Linked DNA regions of Oryzias latipes. The protein of the gene in region 7 interacts with the protein of the main gene of each other region in a pairwise test. Links are inferred from orthologs where the notes say so. Each region holds a gene or a part of one and is shown on either strand. Other genes may lie near its edges. The genes, in order: scly, c19h10orf88, nmd3, mylip, phykpl, map2k5 and lnx2.

Evidence for each region.
Region 1: the proteins of lnx2 (region 7) and scly interact in binary tests that used the Homo sapiens proteins (3 or more experiments, as listed by UniProt). The link is inferred for Oryzias latipes from reciprocal best matches to the Homo sapiens genes LNX2 and SCLY.
Region 2: the proteins of lnx2 (region 7) and c19h10orf88 interact in binary tests that used the Homo sapiens proteins (3 or more experiments, as listed by UniProt). The link is inferred for Oryzias latipes from reciprocal best matches to the Homo sapiens genes LNX2 and C10orf88.
Region 3: the proteins of lnx2 (region 7) and nmd3 interact in a two-hybrid assay, tested with the Homo sapiens proteins (3 studies listed by BioGRID and IntAct). The link is inferred for Oryzias latipes from reciprocal best matches to the Homo sapiens genes LNX2 and NMD3.
Region 4: the proteins of lnx2 (region 7) and mylip interact in binary tests that used the Homo sapiens proteins (3 or more experiments, as listed by UniProt). The link is inferred for Oryzias latipes from reciprocal best matches to the Homo sapiens genes LNX2 and MYLIP.
Region 5: the proteins of lnx2 (region 7) and phykpl interact in binary tests that used the Homo sapiens proteins (3 or more experiments, as listed by UniProt). The link is inferred for Oryzias latipes from reciprocal best matches to the Homo sapiens genes LNX2 and PHYKPL.
Region 6: the proteins of lnx2 (region 7) and map2k5 interact in binary tests that used the Homo sapiens proteins (3 or more experiments, as listed by UniProt). The link is inferred for Oryzias latipes from reciprocal best matches to the Homo sapiens genes LNX2 and MAP2K5.

What each region holds. Positions count from the first base shown.
Region 1 is NC_019862.2:2,930,358-2,934,805, forward strand, and holds the start of scly (selenocysteine lyase), read right to left. Parts: upstream 2,812-4,448; 5' UTR 2,673-2,811; intron 2,644-2,672; exon of another isoform or gene 2,465-2,643; intron 1-2,464. UniProt on the Homo sapiens protein: Catalyzes the decomposition of L-selenocysteine to L-alanine and elemental selenium.
Region 2 is NC_019877.2:24,550,545-24,554,814, forward strand, and holds the start of c19h10orf88 (uncharacterized protein C10orf88 homolog), read left to right. Parts: upstream 1-1,343; 5' UTR 1,344-1,543; intron 1,544-1,753; 5' UTR 1,754-1,826; coding exon 1,827-1,963; intron 1,964-4,270. Other genes in the region: ankyrin repeat and SOCS box protein 3-like, read right to left, coding at 1,142-1,343. UniProt on the Homo sapiens protein: ATPase that regulates mitochondrial ABC transporters ABCB7, ABCB8/MITOSUR and ABCB10. Regulates mitochondrial ferric concentration and heme biosynthesis and plays a role in the maintenance of mitochondrial homeostasis and cell survival.
Region 3 is NC_019871.2:13,573,261-13,577,487, forward strand, and holds the start of nmd3 (60S ribosomal export protein NMD3), read left to right. Parts: upstream 1-1,327; 5' UTR 1,328-1,429; intron 1,430-1,735; 5' UTR 1,736-1,823; coding exon 1,824-1,867; intron 1,868-3,004; coding exon 3,005-3,139; intron 3,140-3,249; coding exon 3,250-3,346; intron 3,347-4,124; coding exon 4,125-4,205; intron 4,206-4,227. Other genes in the region: ppm1l (protein phosphatase 1L), read right to left, coding at 1-133. UniProt on the Homo sapiens protein: Acts as an adapter for the XPO1/CRM1-mediated export of the 60S ribosomal subunit.
Region 4 is NC_019869.2:23,671,359-23,675,552, reverse strand, and holds the start of mylip (E3 ubiquitin-protein ligase MYLIP), read left to right. Parts: upstream 1-1,314; 5' UTR 1,315-1,488; coding exon 1,489-1,575; intron 1,576-2,172; coding exon 2,173-2,363; intron 2,364-4,194. UniProt on the Homo sapiens protein: E3 ubiquitin-protein ligase that mediates ubiquitination and subsequent proteasomal degradation of myosin regulatory light chain (MRLC), LDLR, VLDLR and LRP8. Activity depends on E2 enzymes of the UBE2D family.
Region 5 is NC_019868.2:17,086,868-17,091,252, reverse strand, and holds the start of phykpl (5-phosphohydroxy-L-lysine phospho-lyase), read left to right. Parts: upstream 1-1,553; 5' UTR 1,554-1,725; coding exon 1,726-1,784; intron 1,785-1,870; coding exon 1,871-1,989; intron 1,990-2,091; coding exon 2,092-2,251; intron 2,252-2,326; coding exon 2,327-2,401; intron 2,402-2,475; coding exon 2,476-2,563; intron 2,564-2,643; coding exon 2,644-2,760; intron 2,761-2,869; coding exon 2,870-2,952; intron 2,953-3,019; coding exon 3,020-3,245; intron 3,246-3,412; coding exon 3,413-3,567; intron 3,568-4,385.
Region 6 is NC_019861.2:12,541,631-12,544,957, reverse strand, and holds the end of map2k5 (dual specificity mitogen-activated protein kinase kinase 5), read left to right. Parts: intron 1-800; coding exon 801-902; 3' UTR 903-2,731; downstream 2,732-3,327. UniProt on the Homo sapiens protein: Acts as a scaffold for the formation of a ternary MAP3K2/MAP3K3-MAP3K5-MAPK7 signaling complex.
Region 7 is NC_019878.2:17,477,129-17,481,430, forward strand, and holds the start of lnx2 (ligand of Numb protein X 2), read left to right. Parts: upstream 1-1,464; 5' UTR 1,465-1,651; intron 1,652-3,800; 5' UTR 3,801-3,947; coding exon 3,948-4,302. Other genes in the region: protein POLR1D, read right to left, coding at 438-512, 962-987.

The DNA.
Region 1 (4,448 bases), on a different chromosome or scaffold from region 7:
ACATCATCCCTTTTCATCTTTGTGTGTTCTGGTGTATGCGTTCTGGCAAATGTCTGTGATAACCTCAGAGAGATCTAACACTTTCGGTGCTCTGATGTTCGAGCATCTAGCCTGCAACAGTCTGTGGGTGGGTTTTTCACACCATGATCCATCGAATGAGGTTCTGAATATGCAAATGCAAGGTATATATGCCAGGCCTTTTGTTGAACCCCTTTGTTCGGACTTTGAATGCACTGTGTTCATCTGTCTGTAACCCTGCGTTCAAATCTGTGGTCTTTGTGCGGAGTAAATCTACAAAAGATAAGTTTTGTCTCTGAGTCATTATTCATTATTTCTGTGTGCAGGAAGCTGAAGGGGAACAAACCTAATTACCTATTTTACAGTCCTGTTTAGAATCTCCAGTTTCCTCACAGTAGTTATTTTCCCTCCAGTTCATTCCAATACAATTTCATGTAACCTTACAAAACAAATCAAATAAAAACAATAATATATATTTTTTAAAGTTATTAATTCATTGAAATGTTTTATTTTTGTTTATGCCAAAGCAACTGCGATTTTTGAACAATTATATAATGACATTATGCATACACAAAAAAGAACAACATTATAGTAATGTTTTTGTCCAAAAACAATGTAACTTCAACAACTAAAAACTTTTTTGATTGAATAATTTCTTTTTAATTTAGTTTAAATGTCTCTGTTGGCCACTTAACCATAACCCTGTGTCAAATTACTTTTATTTAAACTTGACCTCAATTTTTTTTAAGTGCTTAAATCTGAAATTCAATTTGTCCGTTTCACGTTTACGTTTGTTGTGCTTTATGACATTAAGCAGCAGCACAGTAAGAGTTGCTGTCACTTTAACCCAATGCATCATGGGAATTGTAGTGTTAGCAGTGGCACTAAAGTTGTAAAGAATAACATCCTGCAGGTGCATTAGTTTATGCATTTTTTTATATGGCGTGTACCCCAGTGGGCATCGATTGCTCACTAGATCACATCTATGTAGACCAAAATACACAGTGTTTGAACAATTTTTGCAAAAAAAAAAGTTATATATAAATGTGTTTTTTAAATACCATAGAACACAGTGGATTCATAAATGGTCGCCGCAAACGCTAGTATCATTGAGATTTTCCCTTCGTGAAATCGATGACGACATATTCGCTGTTTGTAAGAAAAAAAAAGAAGTCTGTGTCTCTGCAGCCGTCCACTTCAGTCCTTTCTTCCTCCTCCAAAGACAAGATCTCTACATCTGTGTGACGCTTCCGTCTGAAGAGACGCACTTTTTGGCATTTTTAACGTTCTAATGCTAATATAACAGACTGTTTTTATTCATCTTTGCTGTTTTATGTTGAAACGGGACGTTTCATCTGAAGTATGTAACATTGTTCACTTTCCGCATTGATGTTGTGCGCATGACAAGTTCATGACGTAATGAGACAGATGAACTTCAGGGTGTGTGAATGAAAAGGAGAATAAAGGCTGCAGCGGTCTTCTACACCCAAACGTGTCTCTGAGCTCCTTATTTTACATATGAAACTCCGCTTTAGTGACACCGAACTCCGGAAAGCCGGCTCCACTGACAATAATCTGATTTTGAGTCGTCAAAAGGTTCAGAATCTCTTTGTTTTTTAAACCTATCCAGAAATAAAGCTTCACAAAACGCTCCACATATTTCATCTTCAAGCAAGGCTCCGATAAACAGAAAACTTTAATCTCGTATTGGAACAGTTATGACTTTTTTCTCTCGTAAATAAAAGTTGTAATTTAAAAAACAAGAAATTTGTTTGTAAACTGGCCTTAAAACTCTGTGGTATTTATTAATGATTTATACAGTGAAAGCTTCACTTCTGCAGATAAAGACAGATGTCAGTTCCTGCTGAGCTCTCAGCCCTCCATGACTGTCCACTCTACTCCAGTCCAGTTTTCTTTTCATCTGGTAAATTATTCCACTTTCTTCGTCTTAAGATATTTTCGCTCCTAGTTCGTTGTCCCATAAGAAGAACCCATGGTGACATCAATATAACAGAAAAACATTAGAAATGGATTTTGTGGTAAAATACACATCATTTCATGGGTCTGGGTTCTTATGGGTTAAGTCGATGAGTTTTTCCTCACATGATGGATTTCAAAACCCAAGAACAAACAAACAAACAGAGCTAAAAATGGAGTCATGCAGGAAACTGGGTCAACGTTCTTATAAGCCCCAGACATGTTCCACTGCTGGTTTAACTGTGTTTTTCACCGCTGCTAGGTTTCTACAGGATGAGATAAAGCGACGCGAACACGGAAACAGCGCGTGCGCTATAGAAGATGTTTTAGGCGAGCAGCCAGGTTTCCGAAGGAGTCTACGTTTGGAGTTAAACATGTCTGACCAAGTTCAGACGGAGTTACTCGATTCTAGTCCTCACAGAACTCCACAAAAAAACAGACAGGCGACACGGGTCCGAACCGAACACACCTGCTGGCCGGAACCGCAGCTTTCCGGAAGAATGTGTCCTGGTGACTGGTCGATTGTGTTTACTTTAGGTTTAGCTTGTTTAGCTAGTCGCTTTGGCTAACAGACTCTGGCTGCTCAACCAGTTCGTCCGACTCCGACATATATAGGCCGACTGGGACGAACTTCTCCTGTTCTGGCGGAAGAACGGACGAATGACCTTCAATCTGACCTTGAGCGGTGAAAGAGAGATGCCTTTCCCGGACTTCTGCTGGCTGTTCCCGCCTGTCCTTTGCTAGCTCAGGAGTCGCATCTCGGGCTCGCCGGGTTGCCAGATCTGATCTCAAACGTGCACCCAGCAATTATCTTCTACAGGGGAAAAAATGTCAAAGAAACACACGCACGTGCGCGCACACGCATCCAAACGCTGAGACAAACACCTACAATCACACGCGCGTGAGCTCGTTAATTTATTTTTATGTACATTCTACTCAAATCAACACAAACGCGTTTACGTATTCTATTGCACAGTGCAGCATCCATCAATACATGACAGCGATCATAGAAGGAAATGATCACTATAACTGTGCACACACGCACGCGCACTGCCTTCAAATATCCATTCCCAGCCTTTATCTGTTAATAAATACATTTCAAAAGTAAAAACTGTACTTTTGAGAAAATTTAATAGTAGCCCTTATAGGAAAAAGTAAACACTTGAAGTTTATTTTACTAAGTATATCTGTAAGTGTAAGTAAGTATAATTATATATAAGTATATATATGTAGTAAATATACTAGTATACATGTGTAGCATAGGAAGTATAATAAGTTAATACTTCTTTAGACTAAATTGGAACATTTTAGTTTACAATATATAGATAGGATAAAAAGAAAGTAAACTGCAAGTATGCTGCCCTTACTTTTAGTACAGACTGATCTCCCTCCCATAAAGAAATCAAATAAAACCCAAAACACACACTTCTTTGTGTTGCATAAGTTCCATGTTTATTTAGTATATGACAAGGTGTTTAGTGTACACAAACACCTGACACTAAACTCCAACACTCAGACACAGACTGAACTACTCCCCATTGAGTTTGTACATGGGTGAAACGTTATAGTACACTGTTCACAGCACTCGTGTTTATATACACTGCCAATTTGAAGAAAGAACGGAGATGTACGGATGCAGAAAAGAGATGTGGAAGCACAGACATGTCAGCTATGACCGTAAAATGATGTCATAGGATTAGAAAAATGTGTATTTTGTGTAAAGACTGCCAGAGTGTGATGGTGAGGGAAGAGTGACAAGAAAATAGCATGAAAGTAGCAGATTTCTGTACAAGGTATAAATTAGCAACTCAGAGCTAAAATCCTCCCATGCATCAACCAGCAGGTTATTCCAGTGCCTCTTCTAGTCTCCATGTGGTTCTCCTAAAAGTTTCCGTTCTACAATCATAAAGGAACCACAACAGGATCCAGAAGCTGTTTGAGCAGAAGCACAGTACATTCAGTGTGAGTCTTTCTATAAGTGCAGCAACAAAACTTTGGTTGGTTCAAATGTGATGCAGATGAAAACATGATGGAGCTCAGTAAAAGACAGTGAGCAATTCCCACACACACACTCACACACTCATGATGATAAAGTACCGCTGGATGAAAGGTTTCCATCATGATGGTTGGATGTTGATGCGACCTTGTGTATCCAGCTAGAAAGACTAAAAACAATACTTCAAAGAAACACTTGAAAGTGTAAAAATGTTGAACTGGATTCACTTCAAAAATTTCCACGAGACACAGAATACAGGCTAAAACAAGCGTTTTAGGAATGACAAACACCTGGTGATACGCTCCAAACCTCAGACTTCAGATCCACCCGTTTGCATGTACATCACCTGGTTGTTACTGAGCATGCTCTCTAGGCTGGATGACCTGAGGCAGGCTCATCCATCCAAGTCACCGTTTGCTTTCAGGTTCCTGCTCATTGTCAGCAGTACCCATGGTGC
Region 2 (4,270 bases), on a different chromosome or scaffold from region 7:
ATGGACGGTGGAAATGTGTCAGTGCTGGTTTTACTGGATCTCATTGATGCATTTGATACAGTTGAGCACGTTTTATGACTCATATGTCTGGAAAACGTGGTGGGTCTCAATGGGCCAGTACTTAACCGGTTCAAAACATGCTTGGAAAACAGAACATACTTTGTGTCCTTTGGTAACTTCACATCGGAGAACAGAAATTACACGAGGAGTTCCCCAAGGCTCCATCCTGAGGTCGCTTCTCTTTCATTTCTACAAGGATTAAAGATCTGGACCTGGAAAAACTAGCATCATTAGTTAACCTGACTATCGTAACAGTGTTTTTACAGGACTACCAGAAAAACCTGCAGCTCATTCAGAACTCCACTGCTGGTGTTCTCACACATCAGTCTGGTTCTGAGGCCTTTGCTGGATAGATTTTTTAAAGCTTTGAATGGTTTAGCGCCATCACTCGTGATGTATTGACTTTCTGGTCATCGGGGTCCAGTTTTGTGTCAGACCCTAGAGTCAAAACCAAAAAGGTAGATCTGGAACAGACTTCCAGAAAGCCTTAGATCAGCTGAAACACTCTATTAAAAACCCCGTTAGACACCCATCTGTTCTCAGCTGCACCTGATCAGTTTGTACTCAAACGTTTACAACCGCACCGTTTATCTCTGCTTGATCTAAATTCTGTTCTTTTTCATGTTCTTTCAATCTGATTTTAATGATCACTCCAACATTCCTGTTGAATGTCTCTTTTAATGTTTCATGTAAAGCAATTGTCTTTATACAAATAAACTTGCCTTGTCTAAAAGGTTCTTTTTTATTTTTATTCTTTTACAACTGAATAAGTGTTTTCTTGGCCTTTTAGTCAGACGCCAACATCAGCCTTTCATCCAAGGATGAGGAAATGTACAGGTGAGTCTGACAGGTACTGCAGTCTCTGTGGTGGGAGGCCAGAATCCATTTATTTTGTGGTATTTATCCTCTCAACTATAAAGGCGCTTTAAAAAGATGTAGGAGGCGCTGGTCCAACCGGAACCACGATCACAGCTTTAGGACACTAAGTTCTTGTTGGTCCTCATCAGACCAATGGCTGCAGTGTGAGCTGACGCACCATAGACTCTGCGCATGCCCAGACCTCCAGCTTCTTCCTTCTTACCGTGCAGGGCAGCCAGGATTTCTCGCACGCACGCGCTGCTGCCGGCTGCGGCCGCCTCGTGCAGAGCGGTCCAGCCGCGGTTATCCCGGGAGTCGATGGGACAGCCCCCACCAAGCAGGGCTCTTAGCCGCCCCGCGCGACCCGCGCGCGCGGCGGCGGCAACGCTGGACACAGTGTCCGCGTAACACGCAGTAAAGTCCATGCCAGAAAAAAAGACACTGATAAACAACCGGTCACGTGTTCACCGACGTTCACATCCTCGAGTCGCCGGCTGATGACGTCACGCACCCAGAGCCCATTGCCGTCCTGGGTGTTTGCGGCAGCTGACGAGCTCAAGTGTTGTCTTCATTTACCGGTTGGATTCTGTTTCTCCTAAAAGAGCGCCGCCCCGGTGGGGTGAAGGTAAGAGACCCCGGGGGGGGGGGGGGGGGGGCGGGGTTAGGTCCCAACATGAAAACACAAACCTTTGCGTCCACGTGACGTCCCCCCTCATGTCCCAGAGTGAGCTGATACTCTGGTTCTCATCGCTCACCTGAGACAGGTGATGCCCCTGATAAGCCCAGCATGGCGCCCGCGTCTGTGTTGAAATTCACGGGAAGGTTTTTTTTTTAGATGATGGAGTGAACAGAATACCCCTTTGTCTGTGCCCCGTCCCGCCTCCTGCCAGGTGGGGTCCCGCATCAGGATGGTGGACGTCTCTGTGAAGGGTGATGCTGCTTGGGTCTGTCCGGCAGCGGGCCGTCAGCTGGCTGAGGTGTTGCTTCCTCTTCCTCTCAGTCATGAAGAGGAGCTCAGTCAGTGGGATGAAGAACAGGCTGAAGGGTAAGGAGTATCTACGTTCACCTGAGACGTCAGGTAAAGGCTAAAACCCTTGACCTTTGGTCCATACATTGACTCTATGAGAGAACTGGACTGATCCATACAGAATGGTTTACTTCCATGTTTTTCCTTCCGTCATCTGTCCAAAGTTTAGTCCAAATGAACGTCCTGACATGTGTCCACCATTGACTGTATATAAGAACTGGACTGAGTGACCCCTGCCCTTCCAAAAAGAAGTACCTGCTGGCTCCAATAAGACTTCTGTAGAGACATAAACAGCTGTTATTCAGTCATTGATCTGTCAAAGTAACCATTCTTGCTCTGCTACCTTTTTGACATCCTGAATTCAATTATAAACACTTCTTAAATGCAGGTCATTCCAGGTCTAAACTGCCCAATCAGATGCCTCAATAAAAGCCTGTCGTCTCACATCAAACATTTTAAACCTTTGATTGACAGTCAATGGTCACCATACTATCTTTGAAACAAGTACCCATAATCCTCCACTGTATATTAAAAAAAGTAGGGAACCCAGAAGACTGGAATGATGTCTTGGTAATATCATCTTTACATTTGAATTGAATGTCTATAGTCTGCTCGTTTTGACAGATATTCTTTTCCACAGTAGTGGTTTTATGGTATCCGTGAACAGGTACCTGAAAATGGAGGACATTCCTGTTTTTCTCTGGTTCATCACACCTTCCAGGTGTATCTGGCATGTGGCACGCTAAATGTGGGTTCTTGACGCGCTTTTAGCCGATGGCGTTCACACCTGACAAGCAGGGAGGGGATTCTTCTTCTTTATCTACTGTTACCCAGCTCATGTCCACCACCTACAGTTTAGTGCGAAATATCGAAAATCGCAATATTGAAGTGGTGCGAACATCATCAAGACTTTTTATGACGTATGACAGACTCTGTCTTATACAGTGATGCAAAAAAGTATTTAGTCAGCCACCAAATGTTTAAGTTCTCCCACTTAAAAATATGAGAGAGGCCTATAAATTACATTATAGTTATAACTCAACTATGAGAAAAGGAGAAAAAAATCCAGAAAGTCACATTGTCTGATTTTTCAAGAATTTATTTGTAAATTATGGTGCAAAATAAATATTTGGTCAATAACAAAAGTTTAACTCAGTACTTTGTTATATTCCATTTTCTGTAAGTCTTCACAAGGTAAAGACTTACATTCCTGCATGGTCCATTCCTCCATGCAGATCTCCTCTAGAGCAGTGATGTTTTGGTCCATTCCTCCATGCAGATCTCCTCTAGAGCAGGGATGTTTTGGTCCATTCCTCCATGCAGATCTCCTCTACAGCAGTGATGTTTCGGTCCATTCCTCCATGCAGATCTCCTCTAGAGCAGTGATGTTTTGGTCCATTCCTCCATGCAGATCTCCTCTAGAGCAGTGATATTTTGGTCCATTCCTCCATGCAGATCTCCTCTACAGCAGTGATGTTTTGGTCCATTCCTCCATGCAGATCTCCTCTACAGCAGTGATATTTTGGTCCATTCCTCCATGCAGATCTCCTCTACAGCAGTGATGTTTTGGTCCATTCCTCCATGCAGATCCCCTCTAGAGCAGTGATGTTTTGGTCCATTCCTCCATGCAGATCTCCTCTACAGCAGTGATGTTTTGGTCCATTCCTCCATGCAGATCTCCTCTAGAGCAGTGATGTTTTGGTCCATTCCTCCATGCAGATCTCCTCTTGACAAGTGATATTTTGGTCCATTCCTCCATGCAGATCTCCTCTACAGCAGTGATGTTTTGGTCCATTCCTCCATGCAGATCTCCTCTAGAGCAGTGATGTTTTGGTCCATTCCTCCATGCAGATCTCCTCTTGACAAGTGATATTTTGGTCCATTCCTCCATGCAGATCTCCTCTAGAGCAGTGATGTTTTGGTCCATTCCTCCATGCAGATCTCCTCTAGAGCAGTGATGTTTTGGTCCATTCCTCCATGCAGATCTCCTCTAGAGCAGTGATGTTTTGGTCCATTCCTCCATGCAGATCTCCTCTAGAGCAGTGATGTTTTGGCCCATTCCTCCATGCAGATCTCCTCTAGAGCAGTGATGTTTTGGGGCTGTTGTTGGGCAACACAGACTTTCAACTTCCTCCATAGATTTTCAATGGGGTTGAGATCTGGAGACTGGCTAGGCCACTCCAGGACCTTTCAATACTCGTTACAAAGCCACTCCTTCGTTACCCGGGCAACGTGTGTTTGGGCTGGTTGTCCTGCTGAAAGACGTAGCCATGTTTCATCTTGAATGCTGATGGAAGGAGGTTTCCACTCCAAATCTGACCACAC
Region 3 (4,227 bases), on a different chromosome or scaffold from region 7:
CTTCATCCGTGTGGAAGAAGTAACTCCACAGAGCCAAGCTGATGCACAGCAGGAACAGGGTCTCCGGTCTGAGCAAAAAATAACGCATGATCCGACCTAACAGCGACAGCAGGGTCATCGTATCTTCTATCATCTATTTGTCTCCGTGCACGAACTCGCGGCAGGTTGACGGTCGATTATCCAGCCGAAGATTTCACTCCATCATTCATTCCACGCAGGGAGACATTCAGATAAAACTGGCCGAATGGCAGGGGACACTTCACCGCATTTTGGAGACGAGACGCACCGAGCAGCCGGGTGTATTTATTTACAGACCGGGGAAACCCAACGCGGAGCTCCGGCTGGTGTGCAGCAGCCCCGCTGCAGGCAGCGAGGCACTGACCTACCAACCAACAGCTGAAGGTCCAAGACTCCAGCGGACGCCCCTCTACATTTACGACTAAACCCGCGTTTCAGCCTTCACTGTAGTAGACCAGTATGGGAAGAAGCTCAACGACCAGTTCAGTCACTTATGCCAACCCTGAAAAATAGCGCCTGAGCTGCGTTCACGCTCCCGGTGGCCAGACTGACTGAGAATATGTGCTGCTGCCTTTCTTTCTAAAGGTTGGTGCTGCCTTCAGGTACACCTCGTTCAAACACATCGCCGACAGAAACACACCAAATTAATGTTTTTGTTTATTTTTGAAAACTCTGCACAATCGGAGAGAAAAGCGTTGCTATTTATCCTCTGTTAAGAATTAAGTGACCACTGTTCAAACTACAAAAAAACAAAACAGAACAAAAACTTCATAAAAACAAACAAATTAGGAAGAGGCGTAAAGAGACAGGATATATATATATATATATATATATATATATATATATATATATATATATATATATATATATATATATATATATATATATATATATATATATATATATATATATATATATATATATATATATATATATATATAACTATATATAACCACTTAACAGGACTGACAGAACGTGTAGTTAGTGCTAATGCATTACGGTTAAAAAGATGTTACCCAAAGCACAGTACATTCAACAAACATGACAGATGTCACAAAAAAACAGTGGAAAACATGCATTAAGTTGTTGCAATGGTAAAATGGGACTTATAAATAAAGCAAAATGTGTGTCAAATCAAGCTGTCAAACATATTCAAACAAGAGAGAAAATTAATCAGAAAATTAACAACACGCCATTTGGAAATAAAAACGTGTAATATGATATGTTTGTATTCAAGACAGCATAAACAAATTTCAGCTCGGCCATCAGGTGCAGTAATAATAATTGTAATTATGAAATATATTCAGGCACACCAAGACAGCTACTGGGGTCTTAAAAGTCTGTGTGACGCACGAGCGGTCCCTCGGTCCACGGCTGGCAAAACGTGGACGACGTTTCTTCACGGTTTGAGGTTAACTTTCAATCATTACTCCTTTTCTGCGTCTTGTCGGCATTTTTTGGTCAAATATAACTTTGGGAAAAAGTACAATACGTGCTATTGAATGTTTGTGAGAAACTACGCTAAGTAGTGTGTTTCTAAAACGGTCGGTTTAGCACACGTTGCTAACTCTGTTTTTTTTAGCGTTGCTGTCTGCTGACAGCACGAAAAATACGTTTGTGAAACCTTTCGTCAGAGTAGCCTACTTATAGAACATTGTTAATTATCTAACTTTTATGTCAAACTCTCAGTTATCAGCACTTTAAATGTTATTTTCAGGGAGGAACCTGTGTTGTTCTTGCCCCTAATGGTTCACCAATCTACAGAAATCATTGTTTTAAACTGAGCTGCAAGGCGGATTACCACCATGGAGTACATGCAAGCTCCTGCTAGCAGCAGCCAGGGGAACATGTGAGTCAAAACATCATCTCATTCTTTCAGTTTGGTTTAAAATTGATGCATAAAAAGTTTCTTGGAAATTGAGAAAACATCTGAGGGGATGTAAAATTTCTCATGTATACATGAGAAATTTTACAATTTATACATGATGTATTGCTAGGCGGTCTGGTTAAAAAAGAATTTGGAAATTTATTTTTGGTAGATTAGTAGTCAAGTTACTTTTAAGCTGTCCAAATATTGGACATTTTTGTTGTCACTTGTAAAAGGAAAAAAATGTTTTAGTTCAAAATAAGAGTAGTACCTCATATCTGAAATCTACTCATCTAAAGGTCGGTCATGCATGAGAGCAGTTTAGGTGTGACTTGTTTTTAATCTGTTCATGACACGTTTTGTCATTTGAGTTTACTGTGACCACATTCTTATTGGAAACTGACACTCCTCGAGAACAGCTTAAAGACCCACTCTGATGTAAACTGTGTTTTTAACATGTTCTTGTGGTGTTTTTGTGATTATTTAGGACACGTCAAGAAAAATCCTCTTAAAATTGAATTTCTGAGCATTTCTTTAATCAAATAGTTGCTAATCGGGAGCAGCTCGAAAAAGAGCTTATTTGTGACATTGAAAATATGCCGGGCTAGCCACAAGCTCTCTGCTCTGCGCAATTCGGATGTATCCACATGCAGACAAACAGATCCACGTACGTCTTCTTTTCCTCATCTCAGCTGGCATCTGGCTCAAAACTGTACGTCTGGATAGCTCTAACATTGCTCGCCATTTTTGTTGCACCGGCAATGCTAGGGTGGGGTTGTGGGAGCGTGTATCAGATGGATGATAGAAAGTAGGGGCAGGCTTACCCTGTACCAAAAGCTCCGCCCACAACTGAGAGATGAATTTACTGCCGCTCTGCATAAACATTCCTAGAAAACAAGTTTGTTTTTTTTTGGCTAAAAACAATATGATCCTAGATAAAAGACCACTGGTGCTTTTAGAATAGATCTAAAAATGATCATAGTGGGATTTTATAAAGTGCTTTTGTTCTAGGGCTTTGTTTTAGGACGGTACTTTTTTTTTCTTGCCCTCAGAATTTGCCACTTGAAAGCCATTTTGAATGATTTATCTGATTTAGTATTTCTGTTTTTTTTTTCGCAGCCTCTGTTGTACCTGTGGTGTTCCCATTCCTCCAAACCCAGCCAACATGTGTGTAGCCTGTTTGCGGACTCAGGTGGACATCTCAGAGGGAATCCCCAAGCAGGTCACAGTACACTTCTGCAAGCAGTGTGAACGGTTTGTCAAACATTTGCTTAAAACTTCCCAGTTTTTTGTTTTTCTTTAAAGATGGCCCACGCTCTGAGTTTTCTTCTTTGAAATGTTGAGGTATCTGTTGTTTCATGCAGGTACTTGCAGCCACCAGGTACATGGATGCAGTGCGCCCTGGAGTCCAGGGAGTTACTGGCCCTTTGTCTGAAAAAACTGAAGAGCTCAATGACTAGAGTATGCTTGATATTTGTTTTTTTTATTTTAAACGTACAACATAAGGGTTTTATTTCAAATCTTAAAACTGTTTTGATTTATTAAAGAAAGTGATGTTAGTAGATTGTAATCTTTTCCGGGAACCAGCAAATTCAAACCTGATCCTACGTTCACACCAGGCTCAAAAATGTGGGTTCAAGCAGCCACTTTAAAAAAAAAAAAGTCTATGCAAATGCACATAAATGTGCATTTCAGGCTTCTGCGTACCAATCGCATCGCCATTGAACACATGTTGAACTAGTTGAACTTTGACCATAGAGGGGCTCAGACTTGGTAGTGACACATGGGTAGCGTCCTTTTCAAAACACGGAAGGAGAAATTAATCATTTTGGTTTGTGTCCGGCTGGAATTCTATGACACCAACTCTTTCTAATATCGGAATAGAGCTGTGAAAGAAAAAGCCTGGAGGAAGATTTGCACCGCTTTGACATTTTGCAGCAAGCCTCCTCTGTGAGTAAATGCATTGGGTAGCGACAGTCCAATTCTGAACACCATCCAATAAAAGTGCGTTCAAGATGCCTGTTTTAGCGCCTTCGTGAACCCGCATCACATGCCTGGTGTACGTAGCATTACGCTTCCATGCCAGTGATTTAAGGAAACAACAAACTAATAAATTCTCATCTGAGAATAGTTGAATCTTTATATTAGGGCTGTTGTTTAGATGATCTGTGAGATGGATTATGGCTATTTGTGATGATGTGTAAATTGATGCCATTTTGTGGCTCTTCATCATACTCAGGTGCGTCTCATCGATGCTGGTTTTCTGTGGACAGAGCCTCACTCCAAGAGGATTAAAATGAAGCTGACTGTCCAGAAAGAGGTGAGGAAACTGAATGGAAGCG
Region 4 (4,194 bases), on a different chromosome or scaffold from region 7:
TAATAAAAACACTAAAAACCCCAAAAAATACTAACAAAAAAAAAAGGATTTAAAATATTAACAACAGACATCACATAGAAAAACAGCATAAAAGACACAAGTTGAACAACGTTACAATTAATGTTAGTTAATGCATCAGTAAACATTACTTAAATATTAAATAAAGTGGTAAGTGCCACTTTTATGCATGACTTTCCGTTACTAAATATATTATTTATCACATTAATCAGTGGTTAGCTAATGTTTATTTTTCAACCCTAATCATATTAAAGCACTGGGAGGTCATGGTGCAGAGGTAGAGAAGTTCCCCTCTGATCAAAAGGTTGCCGGTTTGGTTCCCGCCCTGCCCTACCATGCAAGAATCCTTGCATGGTAGATAGATAGATAGATAGATAGATAGATAGATAGATAGATAGATAGATAGATAGATAGATAGATAGATAGATAGATAGATAGATAGATAGATAGATAGATAGATAGATAGATAGATAGATAGATAGATAGATAGATAGATAGATAGATAGATAGATAGATAGATAGATAGATAGATGGATAGATAGATAGATAGATAGATAGATAGATAGATAGATAGATTTGTCACAATAACTTCAAATACAACAAATAATAATAATACTGATTATAAATAACACCAAAATCTATAAGTAACAACATTAGTTGGGCTACAATATAAATGACAGTGAAGTGTGTATGAGGTGTTGTGGAGTCTAAAAGCTGACAGTGAAATGATCATCTTTTACATCTATTTGAATTTTGTTCTATTTAAAAAAGAACATTTACAAAGCCTCTTGGATAAGAGGTGAAACGTCTTCTAACTTTAAAAACCAAGTCCAGATGACAACCCCTAAACCTACTACAATGGAACCAACCTGGACGAATGAGAGTCTTCATAGACATGTTTAAAAAAGAAAAGAAAAGAAAAGAAAAGGTAAAATTGGATGGAAAAAATAAGCCACTATGAAAAATGCATGTGAGCATCAAAGAGCAAGCAAACCGGAAAACTCTCCCTCTCATGAAAATCTATATTTAGACAGTAGTCTCATGGAATATTTACATGTTGTGAACAGAAAGGCGAACAGCACGACTCATTAAACTCACCGCGAGGTCTTCTGGAGTTGGAGAAATGTCTAATTTATTCAGTTCAGGTCAGTGAAAAGCCCCGAACTATAAGCATAAGCTTGGCCACACGGGGGCGCCCTCAGGAGTTAAGAATTGATCAGCTTTCCTGATTGGTTAAAAGATCTCAGAGAGAATGCTTAAGATGCCTCTGATTGGTCAGTGTTTAGTGGGCGGTGCTCTTCGCGGGTTTCATTGAGATAGGGTCCAGCTGGGGAGCGCAGATTCGGCTCGCGTAGTGAAAGCGTCTGAACGTGAAGAAAGCTTGATGTGGACGTGACGGTTTTGGAGAGGACACGAAAGTTGTTTGTTTCAGCGCGTGGCACACCAAAGATCCACGGACAGCGACCAAAAATGCTTTGCCACGTGACTCGTCCGGACTCGGTGGTGATGGAAGTGCAAGTCGATGCGAAGGCAAACGGGGAAGACTGTCTGAATAAGGTAAAGTTGAGCTTCAAATATTACATCACAAATTACTATGTTGTTTTTTTTTTAAACGCAACATTGTGGTTCAAAATCAACAAAGGTTTTCCACGTTTGCTTATTTTCTGGCGCTGAACTTCCTGTAAATAGATCCGCGTGTTAGCCCCCAAAACAAAAGCTTTGACATGTTTTCACACATAAATGCATGAATTCCCAGCTAAAAACTGTTAACTCTTCTCATGTCTGGAGCGCTTTTTTGGTTGCGGTGCTGGGGAAAATTGCCGGCGGTCACTTTTGTGCAGAGCTTAGTCACTAAGTGAGAGGCGCTGAGTGTCCGGGGTTACTAAAGTTCATTCTTCAGGAGGCGCACATGAAACTTTTCTAAACTTTTAGTTCTGGTTATTATTGGCGCAAAAAGACAAAGAGCTTTAAAATCACCTCCCTGTAGCTCTGAAAATCTATTGGTTTTATTTATATATAAAAATATCTATAATTGTGCTTTTGAGGAACAAGCTGTAACCTGCTTCACTTTCTGACTAATTAAATTACTTTATTTTTGTATTGAAGCAGTGAAACAGACGGCGTTGTGTTTTTTTTTTCTTCTCTTGCTTGTAGGTTTGCAGGAAGTTGGGCATCATTGAAGCGGACTACTTTGGGCTGCAGTTCACGGGCAGCAAAGGAGAGAATCTGTGGCTGAATCTGAGGAATCGCATCTGCCAGCAGATGGATAATGTGACACCCTGCCGGCTGAGGCTGCGGGTCAAGTTCTTTGTGGAGCCCCATCTCATTCTGCAGGAACAGACCAGGTACCAGCTCAGTGTTTGAACCCTCAACCCTCTTCTTTTTTTCTTCTTCTCCTCGTGGCTCCCTATGACTGACAAAGAGGAGAGCGCTCTGGCTGACTCAAAACAAAGGCATTGCTCAAACACCCTGCAGGCCGTGCAGTGGAAATGCCCTGTAGTAACCTCTCTCCGGAGCTCTTCCGGGGTTACTGTAGGTCATTTTGGCTGGAAATGTGATCCCAGCAGCTCCTCACGCTTCCCCAGAGACCCATTCTGACGAAACAGAACCCCCCCCCCCATGTCTCTGCTTCTATGAGTGAACCTTGTTTGTAGCTTTTTTTGTTGTTTTATTTCTCTAAACAAGCACTTTAACACTTTGACACGTTTGTAGATGTTCTCTGGAAACGGGCCAGCAGTGCCTTTTTTTTTATTTTTTCCCCCACCGCTTTTGTTTTCTCTCATGTGGGTCATTGAGTCACAGCTGAAACTGTGCCATTGGTGGACCCTTTGTTAGTTTTTTTTTTTTTTTTTTGTCAGAAATATGCTTAGCCCCAGCAGGAAAAAACTCATCCACTACTTTCTTTTCTTCTTCATGATTTGAGCCAACTGGACTGGGTCCTAGAAAAGTTAATTGTGCATTGTTTTTATAAGGGGGGGGCATGTCGCCGGGAAACCGACAACTTCACTCGACTTATTCCCTCTTTTTTATTTTATTTATTTATTTTTAATCTACTTATGTTGAATTCACTCATTATTTTGGTACATCAGATCATTTGCTGTTGTCCATGTTTGGCATCCTCTCCGGAGACAAATGTGATGGGGGGGGGGGGGGGGAATTGGGGGAGAGGGCACGGGGACAGTTGGCTGCCTCTGCTCCGACCGCCACTCGATTAGCTGGGGTTATCAGCAGATAGCTGGCGTCGGGTGAGTGGAGGGTGGTAGGGTCAGGCTAGAGATAAAGTGAAGTGACAGGGAACGGTATGCATGGCTGCAGCACACACAAACATGCTGTAACACTTACATTTTACTTTAAAAAAAAACTTTTTGTTCCATTTTTAAACTATAAATTGATCTTTTAGGGAACTTTGTTACTTAATTTGCATATTAAATCCCTATTTGTGCAGATTGTGGTGCAATTCTTTTAAGAACTTTTTCCTGAAACTTTTTAATAGCTTTGACTTGGCTTTAAACAAACTAATTAAAAAATAGTTTTCTGCTTAATATACTTCAAGCAGACACTCCTCATTATGCTCCTCTGCTGCACATTTCATGTGGAGAAAAGAATCAGGTGTTGGTCGTGACGTGAAGGGCATTTCCTGCAGGTTGTAGACGACTCGCGCTCGCTGTAGATGCGCTGGGCGGTTGGCACCTGTCTGTATAGGCCGCTCTGCAGCCCGCTTATGTAACCTGCTGACCTCATGGTGGATTATATAAGGATGTTGTGTGCTCTGCTGCCACATAAAGCTTTTACTGGTCACTTAAGTGTTCATGTGCACGCACACACACAGTTTCTGTAGATTTCCTATAGATTAGGAAGTTTCAATGTCTAAAACAATTTTTTTATTTTAGTTACTATGTTTAAACCTAACAACCTAACCTTAATGAGGTTGGGATTGCGAGGATTTGTTTTGTTTGAGAACGAATTAATCACAAAATCTTTATATTTTGTATATTCAGAGGTCAATAATTGCATATTATTTTCATTAGACTTTGGCTTAGCCTTTTATTGGTGGCATCTGTCCTTTTGCTTTTCCACAGATCTTTGTCTTTTTGTTTTTTTTACTAATTTTAATCAGATTGTTTTTTTTGTTTTTTTTTTTCCATGCACAGCCTTAAATTATTCACGTTCTTATCA
Region 5 (4,385 bases), on a different chromosome or scaffold from region 7:
TAGGACGTTTTACGGCTGTATTTCCTATCCAAGTAGAGCCCTTTTGTAACCTTTGATAAGTTACAGAGTAAACCACCAACTAAGGTTGTTAACCTGCGCTTGCCATGAGGAAAAATCCATGTAAATCTTTAATCAGTACAACATAAACATCTCAAATTGAAACTAAAAGAAAAAAAAAGCCTTAAATCACCTGCTTTATCTAGGTCTCTGTGTGGTGGTTAAAAAGTGCAAAGGCTAAAGTACACTTAATGCTGCAACCAGAGTTAGCTTTTAAGTATTATACAATGAAATGCAATTATTTCAAATAAAAATAAAAATAAAGGAAATTTGATTACGTTTAGAGTTTGAGCTTTCAGGGTTAAAATCTGGCCTCCAGGGCCTGCCTTCTTGTGACAAACATGGTGCTACTATGCTAACTGTGGTTCACACCACAGTAGTCAAAATAAAGCTAGTCCTATAGCAAAAAGAAGAAAAAGGAATTGCACTAAAAATCTCTAAAAAATATATTTAAAAAATTGCACATCTAACACGTTTCCTAAAACAAACTATAAACAACAGTGTGTGCTCAGACTGACTCTGTCTGAATCTGAGCGACATGCAGGATGTGTGTGGTTAAATAGTAGTTGCATAGGTACGACTTGACTAAATGTCTTCATTTACATCCAAAGGAAATAATGAGTAATTTTTACTGCGCAATTCGCACATTTATGACGAAATTATGAGACAGCACGTGCTCTTTCACCAGAAAATGTGTCACGAACCTTACATGCAAAAAAAGTACTATCACTGTAATAAAGAAGGTATTATTGTGTCACGTCTCTACTAGCTACATACACGTATTTTCACGTGAAAACGACAAGGTAAAAAGCACGTTATGTCAGTAACACAATGCAACTAGTGACACATCAAGACGTTAGCCGGTTATGTTAGTTAGCTAAAGATTATAACCGTTATCTAAATATACTAGAAGTACGATATTTTATTTTGTTAAAGAAATTCCGGTTTGTTTGGCTCCTAACACAATTACTTAATTAAAAAAAATTGGACTTTGCATTACTGCGATAACTAATTAAAAGCAGCTAGCTTGGCCGTTTTACTTCACATAGCTAGCATGCTACAGCTGACCTGATGAATTACCTGCTTTCTATGGTTCCTTAGCAACCGAAGCGGGACACTGAATGCACCGGGTAACCAGAAGCTTTGCGGAATATTTATAGCCCTTGGACGATACCAATATAGAAAAACGTAATAGGTGGAACATTAAAAATTAAGGAAACGACGGAGCAAACATGTGACAGATGTTTTTGAATTAATTTGTAATCACATGCATTTTGAACTCAACAAGACCAAGAGGAAACGAATAAATGGCCTAAAACAAAATGTCACGGTCACCTTTGGATTTGTTAGAATAGCCCAATCGAAATAAAGCTACAGCGTGATTTAAAACAACTTTGAGAAAAATTACAAATTATTAATTATTTTTATTTTACAAAACATCAGACAGAGAATATTTGTTTGTTTTTCTGTTTTATCTTCCAGAAAAATTAGGCAGTGGAACTTTATGCAGCAGGGAAACAATAGCAGGAAAATGGGAAGAGACACGCTTCTCACGCATGCTCAGTGGCACAGTGCTAACCAGCTGAGTAGGAAGAAGAGTTGGGTAAATGTTTTAAACCTCCTGTAATCGACATATTATATGACTCACCGTTTCACGCTTTGCATGCTATGGCTGAAGAAAACTTTACTAAAGAAGAAACCCTCGCGATGAGACTAAGGCTAATTGGGTATGTGAAGTGAAGTTTTGATACTCTACTGTGCTATGGACACTTAAGGTACATGTTTCTTACAAGTAATTGTTTTTTTATTACAGGCAGTCATGTCGACTGTTTTACAAAGAAGACCCTGTCAAAATAGTGAGAGCAAGAGGACAGTACTTGTTTGATGAAAATGGGAATCGCTATTTGGACTGCATCAGCAATGTCCAACACGGTAAAATGCTTAGGGACCGAAATATGAAACAATTCTGCCTCCTAGTGGCCAAAGATTGTAAAAAAAAATGCAGATAATTGACCCCATGTTTACCCCCCACAGTGGGTCATTGTCATCCTGCCGTTACAACGGCTGCTGCAGCACAAATGGACCTTCTGAACGTAAATACTCGGTTCCTGAACGACAAGATAGTCCTTTATGCTGCTCGTCTCGGTGCCACTTTGCCTGACAAACTGTGCGTCTTCTATTTTGTTAACTCTGGGTAAGAAAGGCCCCGATATTTTTACAATTAGTCATTGATGGAATACTATAGTGACTGTTTATGCCTTTCCCACAGTTCAGAGGCCAATGACCTGGCCTTGCGCTTGGCCCAACAGTACACCCAAAACCAGGACGTCATAGTTCTTGACCAGTAAGCTCCATAGCTTCAAAAAATCTGAATTTACCCATTAACACCACCCTTAATGTAGTCTCCCCCTGAACCAGCGCTTACCACGGACATCTAATGTCCCTCATTGACATCAGTCCTTACAAGTTCCGGAAACTGGCGGGGCAGAAAGACTGGGTTCATGTGGTGTGTAGGTCTATGCACAAAAATTCTGATGGCGATGTTAACGTCTGCTTATCGGAGAGGATGCGCTTCGTCTTTTCCAGGCGCCTTTACCAGACACCTACAGAGGGATGTACAGAGAGGATCACCCCAACCCAGGCCAAGCCTATGCAGATAAGGTCAAAGACCTGATAGAGGAGATCCACAGGAAAGGTCGCAAGGTTCACTGTTCATTTTTATGAATATTCCTGTTAAGATTCACCACTCATCACTCATTAACTGTGGCTAGCACAATATATTTGAGTTAACTTGAATTGCTCTTTTGCATAGATCTCTGCATTCTTTGCTGAATCACTGCCAAGTGTTGGAGGGCAGATCCTCCTGCCCCAAGGATATTCCAGTAAAGTCGCCGAGTGAGTAGTGACTCAGCCGCCTTTTGTTTTTTGATTTAAATGTGATTGGTGCAAATCTACTTTGAAGGTACGTGCACTCGGCTGGAGGAGTTTTCGTGGCAGACGAGGTGCAGACGGGGTTCGGACGTGTGGGGAGTCATTTTTGGGCTTTCCAGCTACAGGGGGAGAATTTCTGTCCAGACATAGTCACCATGGGGAAACCCATGGGTAATGGTCACCCTGTGGCGTGTGTGGCAACAACAGTAGAGATAGCTCAGGCATTCACAGCGAATGGAGTGGAGTACTTCAATACGGTAAAATTATGTTCAACTAAAATTCTATTAGAAGAAAAAAAAAAGAAGCTTTTTTTAAGTAGATGCTCACAACTGAGTCCCGTATGTTAATCATTTAGTGAAATTCTTTATCCTGGTTTTCTGTGAAGCCAACACTTTAAAAATTTGTGTCGCACTGCTTGATGCAGTTCGGAGGGAATCCGGTGTCGTGTGCGATTGGCCTGGCGGTTCTTGATGTGATTGAGGAAGAGGACCTCAGAGGAAATGCCATAAGGGTGGGGGAACATCTGAAGGGGTTGCTCAAAAAGCTGCAAGCAAGACATGAAGTAATAGGAGATGTAAGGTAAGGAAACCAGAAATACCTTATTTAAAATCATTTTTAAAAAATGACAGTCGGTTGGGTGCTTCTTCTTCACTCAGCTGTTTTTACATAATTTCCTGGCCAGAGACCTTAAAATCGGTGCAATTTAGTACTTGGTCATCCAATAAGTAAACAGTAATAACTGAGCTTCATACACCTGTTATGTTTCAATTAAATGCATTAAAGTCCCACTCTGATCGTCTTTTGATCTACAGTCAAAGCGTCCCTAGTGGGCTTTTAATTATGATCGTGCCTTTTTCAGTCTAAATTTAGAAAAAACTGTTGTTTTCTAGAACAGTATCTGCAGAGCGGTAGTAGTTCATTAGAAATTCACCTCTGAGTTGTGGGCGTGGAGTAAGTCTGCCCACTTCCCATCATCCATCTGTTGACACTCTCCCATTAGCTGACAGCCCCTCCCACCCTAACCTAACATTAACGGTGCAACAAAAATGGCGAGCAATATTGGAGTTTTCCAGCCGTACAGCCTTGAGCCAGATTCCACCTAGGACGAGGAAAACAGAGACGTACATGGATCTATTTGCACACAGGTGCATCGAGATGCAGCGAAGCAGGGAGCTTGTGGCTTTTACCTTCATACCTACAAACTCCTTCCAACGGCATTTTGGTGTTTGCTCCTGGTTTACGATGTGAATAAAGAAATCAGCCTAATGTTCTTTATGTGTGTCCTCTATTGAGAGACAAATAGCACAAGAGCAAAACATGATTTTCATTAGAGCAGGTCTTAAATGTACCATTGTCTTTCATCTATTGTGGGATAAACTACAGTAACTAGTTTTGAC
Region 6 (3,327 bases), on a different chromosome or scaffold from region 7:
CTGCTCAGGCCTGGGAATCAGTCAGATAGCTGCTTTGATTGGCACAGCCATCTCTGCATCGAGTCAATGCTGACAAGCATCAAAATGGAGACATGTTTCATTTATGGACCTAACTAATCAAAATCAGTCACAATCATTCATTCATTCATTCATTTATGAGGAAAATAGATCATCAAGGTTACTTTAAATTTAGTACTTAATACATGCAGATGATTAAGCTTTCTGTTTTTCTTTAAAATTCCGACAAATCATAGTTCAAAATATGTTTATAATGGATATTTAACCAGTTTTAACATCATTCTTGTTAGGTTCATTAATATTTTATTGTCATTTTGTGACTCATTTTTAAAATTTATTTTCAAAAGTAGAGTTGATTATGCTCTTAACATAAAGGTATCATCTTTTTTTGTGGCTCCAATCTGTTTGGTAATAAACCGAAATATTAAAGTTGAATAGAGATAGTACTGATAGCTGTTTGGACTTTCTGTTTTATTAAGAAAACCAATTTTTTCTTGCTTTTTTATGACCAATTAAGTTCATTACAACATAATGGCTGTTTATACAATTATATAAAGAGATAAAGAGGAGATGACATTTATTGAAATGGGGAATTTCATGTTTATTTCTAACACAACCTTTAATTCTCCAACTCTATTCAAAAGAAAGTTGGGCTTGAAACAAAATATCTGTTTAAAGCAAATGTTATTGAAATGTTTTTGCTACTTCTAGTATTCTAATACAATATTTTGGAGGGTTGTCTTTTTTTTTAAGACAAACTTTTCTTTATCTTTTTTATGCAGGATCATCCCTTCATCATCCAGTTTAATGATGGAAATGCAGAGGTGGTGTCCATGTGGGTTTGCCGCTCTCTGGAGGAGAGGCGCACTCAGCAGGCTCATTAATGCCTCCAACCGTCCTCTGATGGACACAAACGTTTGACTTTAAACGTCTGCAAAAGCCTGTACAGTCAAGAATGTTTCCTTGTATGAAACCCTCACAGAACTGTATTTTTTGGACAAGAAATTGGGTTATTACATGCGATATATCAACTATTCTTTTTATTTTTTTTTAGCACAAAGTATTATTTTCAGTACCACCCTGCAAACCCGGAAATGTTCTGAACATTTTGATGAAGGAAGATAAATATTTATGGTCCAAAAGAGTGCACAACTTCAAAACCTGACAATCCAACATGATCAGCCTGTGCTTTCCTGTTTTCTATTGGGATATTATATTGCACATCTGGACCAGAGCAAATATTTAATATCAAAGTTATGAGATTTCTCATCAACAGGGCTAAAATTAGACTAATTCTACATTTTTTTTTTTACCATCAGTGTGATGCCCAGTAAACCTGCAGTGTGTCATTTCTGAACTCCGCAACGGAAAACTTCCACTTGGTATATTGTTGTCATGAAAAGAGGTTTTTATGTGCTTTGAGTCAGTTTACAGTTGGGTTGCACTTTGTTTTGTTGTTTTTGCAGATTAACTGTTTTTTTTCTCTCTTCATTTCTTCCTTGAAAATGAAAACATTTTAAATATAAAAGAAAAAGACAGGACAGTTTAGAAAAACCAAAATCATATATTTATTTTTTTTATATTTCACATTCACAGTGTGCCCAAAATATCTAAGAAAGTAAAGCAAATAGATAATCATTGAAATACCTTCAGATAATAGAACGAAAACAAAAATTCAAATTCTTGGTACACCAAAGAGGAGCTAAATGCTGAAATAGCTACAGGAAATTCAAAACTCTGACAGATCTCAATGGTCTTTATTTGCATCCAATGAAATCTAATTCATTCAAATGTAATCCCATTACTTATGTGGTTCACAAAGAAAACGGAGGGGTATGATATGTAGTGTAAGAATCAAGAGACACATTTTTGTTGTAAACTGCTGGCACATAAAGAATTATCTAATCTGTGAAATAGATTTAAATTCAGGTAAACCCAGAACTGCATCTTTTGACTAGCTGAAATGCTATCTCAACATTTCTAGCTCTTAAGAACTAAAACAGAATCACTCAAAAGATGGACGAAATTTCCAAATGTGTCTCAGACCCAAACACAGGCTAGATGTGTGAAGATGATCATGACACTTTTTTTTTGTTTTTGAAGGACTTTCCTTATTGAAAAACAAGCAAAGTTTTTTAAATTTCACATCTGCTACTTCTTTTCTCTGCACTTTTAATCATTTGATTACATAGAAGTTGTAACGATGATGTTTTTCAGAGATCCATCCAGCAATGGTACACAGTGTGTGTGTGCTGTAGACTGCAAAGTCGAGCACTTCAGTCCTGTGCTCTTTCAGAAGCTCATCAGGGAACTCTGCTTCTGCTGGTTGTGGTTAAAACTTCAAATACAACATTTTTAAGTGAACTTGAAATGTGATTTGTGGACCTGAACACGTTAGCCTTAAATGTTACAGATTTACAATATATTTAGCTCAAAAAATATAAGGAATTATTGTTTATGTTATGATTCTGCTATGAACGAGGGACTCATTTGTGTGTCTTTTTTAATGCTCAGCTTGATGACAGCATGTCTGGTGTCCTGCTCGTATTTTGTTCTTGTTCAAACCACAGAGTCTCTGTTTAGTAATGATGCGCAGCAGAAGCCTCAGTGCTGTGAAATGACTGACTGAACAGGCCGCCCCTTTTTTAACGTTTTTTTTATGTCTGTTGGCACAAAACATGTTAAATAAAAGTTATTTGAACAAACGTTCACAGTCGAGGTTTAAAGGTGTGTCGATTATTTAGGAAAAAACTGTTTCCGTCTAGACTTTTTGTTAAAAAGAAACTGTTATTATTATCTGTTACATATTTTACAATAATAAAAGACCACAGACTGATGATGGAGGGAGCAACGATAGTAAAAGAAGTGCAAGAACGTGCATCAGTCTGTCGACTGGAAAATGTGGCAGTTCATCCGATTCTCTACCCAAAATCTTCCGGGGATGACGGTGGACTTCAGGGAGGAACCCCACCCCCACTTACAACCCTCAACAGAGGTTCCTATGGCCCCCCACCATCTCAGGGGACCTGAAGTGAACCTCCCACATAGACTCCATCCAGAAGAAGACCCAGCAAAGATTGTACGTCCAGCATATTCTGATCATCTTCTACTCTGTGATAATCCCGTCTGTCCTGACCTCATCAATCATGATCTGCAACCAGACGCGACAAGGAAAGACCGCAGGGAACCATCAGGTCTGCAGAGAGGATTATAGGGTCCAACCTACCCTCCATCCAGGATCTGTGCTGGTCAAGGGTTGGGAAGCAGGCTGGTAAAATCCCCATGGACCCCTCGGACCCCGGCTAAATT
Region 7 (4,302 bases):
ACTGCATTAAATGACGAGTGAATGACAGCTTCAGAACATTAGCTTTGACCTCTCACATCTGAAATAAATCAAGAAGAAAAAAATAGTTTTGATAAATCAGCGTCAGCCCAGAAAATAAAAATGTCTGAAAGCATATTTTCAATTCCAGGAAAGTTCACAGGGTTATACCGTTTTTTTTAGACATAGAATCACTACAGACACACAATCAATAAATAAATATTAATAATAAATTTAGTCTATATGTGTGTGCTTTTAGATGCCAAGAGAGACAAGTGTCTTTGGGAACCTGACGAATTATCTATAATAGAAAACTAGTTAAACACAAATACAACAATAATAGAAGCCTCCAAAAAAAACAGCTAAACCTATGAAGTAAGATTTTACATGGCGTTTTATGTGGAGGCTGTCAGGGATGACATTTCAGAACCATAACTCACCATCCTGCAGGGCCCATGGTCTCAGCTCTCACCCTGGCTCTGTCTGTCTCCTTGAGGAGTTCCTCTATAGCCCGTCTGGAGGAAAAGACGTAGAAAAATGCGGATAACAACAGAAGACCAAGATGACATAAAAGCTCAAGGGGAGACTAATATAATTATGTGCGAGCGAGGAAGAAAATAGGAGACGCGGAGGAAGTGAATCATAAGTAATTGGGACATCAGCGGTGTCCCCGTTTAACCCGACCAGCTGAGGCATTAGTCTCGCAGGGGGCTCTCTCTGATTCAGCCGATCTTATAGCACGTAGTGAGAACAGCTGTTGATTGCCAAAAGGCAGAGTGTGTTGACTGCTACACAAGATACACTCCGTCCCCTAACCAAAATAACCCCATAGCTACAGAAATGCATTATGCAAACATGCTAGCCTAATCTGGTGGTACCAGACACCATTCCCCCGATGTATTAGTTTAACCGAGCAAACGTAAACAAGTTAATCGATGATAATCTAAAAATAAAAAATACTTACTTTTCCAATTCATTATCTTCAGCCATTATGCCTGACCACCTAAAGACTTTAAAACGCAGAATTATTTCAGGAAATTTCTACAGGCTCATGTTAGGGGATTTATTTACCTCTGCGAGGTCCTTCTTTCGAGGACCTGATTTTATGACCAAAAGATGCCTGATCATTTCATTGTTTTATATTGTTAAACCATAACATTTTTTTTTAAATAAATAATGCATTTTTGTAAAATTCACGCCGTTTTTAGAACCCAAACATTTATTCTAAAGTAATTTAGTTACTAAAATAATAGTTGTAATTGTCACATTGAAAAACAAAAAATATTCCATGCCCTGTATGATCCCGAAGCTTTATCCGTTTATGTTATTACCTCTAACATATCGGAATCATAAACATATTAAAAGATTTTAATTCCCGCTGAATGGACGTTTTTGGGCAGGCGACATTGAAGCCACCTCTACTTTTTTTTTCTTTTTTTTGTGGATTGACAGCGGCAAACTCCGCCCAGTCTCTTTGACGGACAGCAGTGGGCGGGACCAGGCACCAAAGTGACGGGGGCGTTTTCGTGCAGGTTTGCGGAACGGGCCGTCCGTTGCGGCGACTGCGTGACTGAGGTCCCGCAGCTGCTAATTGTCCCGCCACCCCCGCCCCTCTTCGAGGCCCGGGCGCGGCGCAGAGGAGCAGCCTGAAGAGGTAACATCACATCTGCATCCTTTCACTGTAAGCGGCGTCAGTGTGTGTGATGCTGGCTTTTTCTGTTATTACCATTGTCGCCTCTTCTGTCCTCCCTTTTCGCTCCTAGGGGGGGTTGGACTCAGACAGTGAACGGGGGGTTTGAGAGATGGGGGGAGGGCTTATCTAAACATTGATGGTATCAAAAATATATATATATATATATTTTAGTAATTGCTTTGCAGATGGGGCGTTATTAAGGTAAATGCAGAAAATTGACAATAATAATTGAAAATGTAATTTACAGCAGGCTCAGTTTTTGTATTATTACTAATGCATGCAAAAAATAAATATATAATAATGTTCACATCAGTTCTCGTGCTGTCTTTGTGTGTTTAGTATTTGTAGGATGAAAGACATCCAAATGAGGTTTTTGTAAAATATCTGATACCTGGGTGCCTGATACACCTGAGTTTTTAAATGAGTGCCATAGAGTCTTTTGATCTTCTAAAAAGGAAACTCCTGCATGCCGCTGCCTAGTTCTCCCAAGATTAGATAGTAATCTGTGGGAAAATGAGAGCAAGTGCAGGACCGGTATCCTAATATAAAAAGATGAGCAAGTACAGCTTTGAACTCAGACAAGAAGGATTAAGAACGTGTCACACGCATCTGCAAGCCTTCACTTATTAAAAAAAATCAGCCCAGCGTGGCTTTTGTCTAAAATAGATTGTTTTTCAACTGCTTCCTGACTCAAAAATGCATTTACTGTTAAAACCGGAAGGCGTTATTTATTGATGAGGAGATTTCAGGGGCTTCTGCCTAAAAAAAGCCCTTGTGTGTTTCTGTTTGCTCTTGCTTGTGCATGTCTACAAGTCTGTGTGTGATGTGGTGATGTCACAGCTTTGTTACAGAGACAGAGAAGCCTTGTGTCCTCATGTTAAATTCATGTCCAGCTGCAGGATAGGGACAGAAGCAGCCAGTCAGACACAGACAGGAGCACGCACTTGAAGGAGGCAGAAATCTGTGACTACCGGCCTGGTAGCTAAGGAGACAGAGGAGACAGGTTGCATCAGAACTGGATAACTACACAGATGAGATTGAAAAAAAGAAAAACACAAAAAAGGGGGGAAAAAATCAACAAATTGGACTCATATATCATTGTCTGACAAGCTTTCAGCTTCTGCTGTGGAGGAGCACAGAGTCCTGCTGGGAGAAGTGCATCTGTTGTGCACCTCCTCTGCATCCTTTTCTGGCTACACTGTGAATGTCAAACCACACTGAACAGAACAGGATCCAGGTCGTCATGGAGACAGGAGCAGACCCTTGCTGGAACAGAGGCAGGTAGTCACTGTGGCTTGGCTGGCCCGCTGTGGGGAGAGGCACGCCCTCTGCTGTCCGCTAACAGCATCAGTTCCAGAGGGGCGAATGATGCTGATGAAGATCTGAAAGGCGTTGGATGTGAAACTCTGTGGAAACAATAAGCAAACACATTACACCACATTAACTCTGAAGACACGCTCTGCTTGCTGGAGTGCTATTTTTCACAATTTTGCTTTAGGCATGTTCCGTTTCTGTTGCAGAGGAGGGCAGCATCCTCCACACGTGGCCAAAAATATCAAGGGTTTAAAGGTTTCACAGTATTTTTTGGACTATTTAAATTACATTCCTGTCCCAGATTTTATCTCTCTCATTTTTTTTCAAATGTATCTTCTCTTTCTTTATTCCTGCTCTACTTTGTGTTTTTTTTCTGCATCAGGTCCAAATCTTTCTCCCTTGCATCTTATTCTACTTTTTTCTTCTCCCTCTTCTTTCCTGTCTGTGGCTTCTCCTATCCCACTTTCTCTCATCTGTATCCTCTCCCTACATCAATCCCAGATAATTCCCTCTCTGCGGAATTGGAAGATTGGAGTAGGCGAGAGTAAAAGAGAGATTATACTGTCAGATTAGCAGACAGGAGCAGCAATACATAATCTCAGCACAGTCACTGACATCCACATGGCACAGCCACAGTACTATAAACACACATTGCTGCCATCGGTGTCATGCAAACCCATGGGCACACGTGCATGAAGCATTTGCCAAATGATTGCGTGCACGACCACAGAAGACACTTGTTTTGATTTTTCTGAAACATCTGTTAAACTATTGCACTGTGCCCTCTGACCTCCAGGGAGATGCGTTATCAGCCACTGGGGGGCTTTGTCCTCTGCAACCTGTTCAGCCCGTGAAGCTTATGGGATAGAGAAGTGCGTAACCCTTGCCCTCCACACAACTGGAGTCATTTGTGCCAAAATCTGAGCTGTGCTGAAGGAGAAAAATGGGCAGCCCAGGCTGCGAGGTGGACGTCACACGGCCAACGGAGCCAACTCCCGAGACTCTTTGTCCAGAGTGTGGTCAGATCCACCGAACCTGGGAAAACCATCTCTACAACTACCGGCTGGAGGTGGACGACGACCTGGTGTGCCACATCTGCCTGCAACCGCTGGTGCAGCCTCTGGACACGCCGTGCGGGCACACCTTCTGCGCCCGCTGCCTGCGCAGCTTCCTCCAGGAGAGGGACTTCTGCCCTCTTGACAGGACGCGGCTGCAGCTGCAGGCGTGCCGCAGATCCAGCATCCTGGTGCACAAGCTGCTAGACAAGCTCTCCGTTTCCTGCCCTTTGAGTCCTGTCT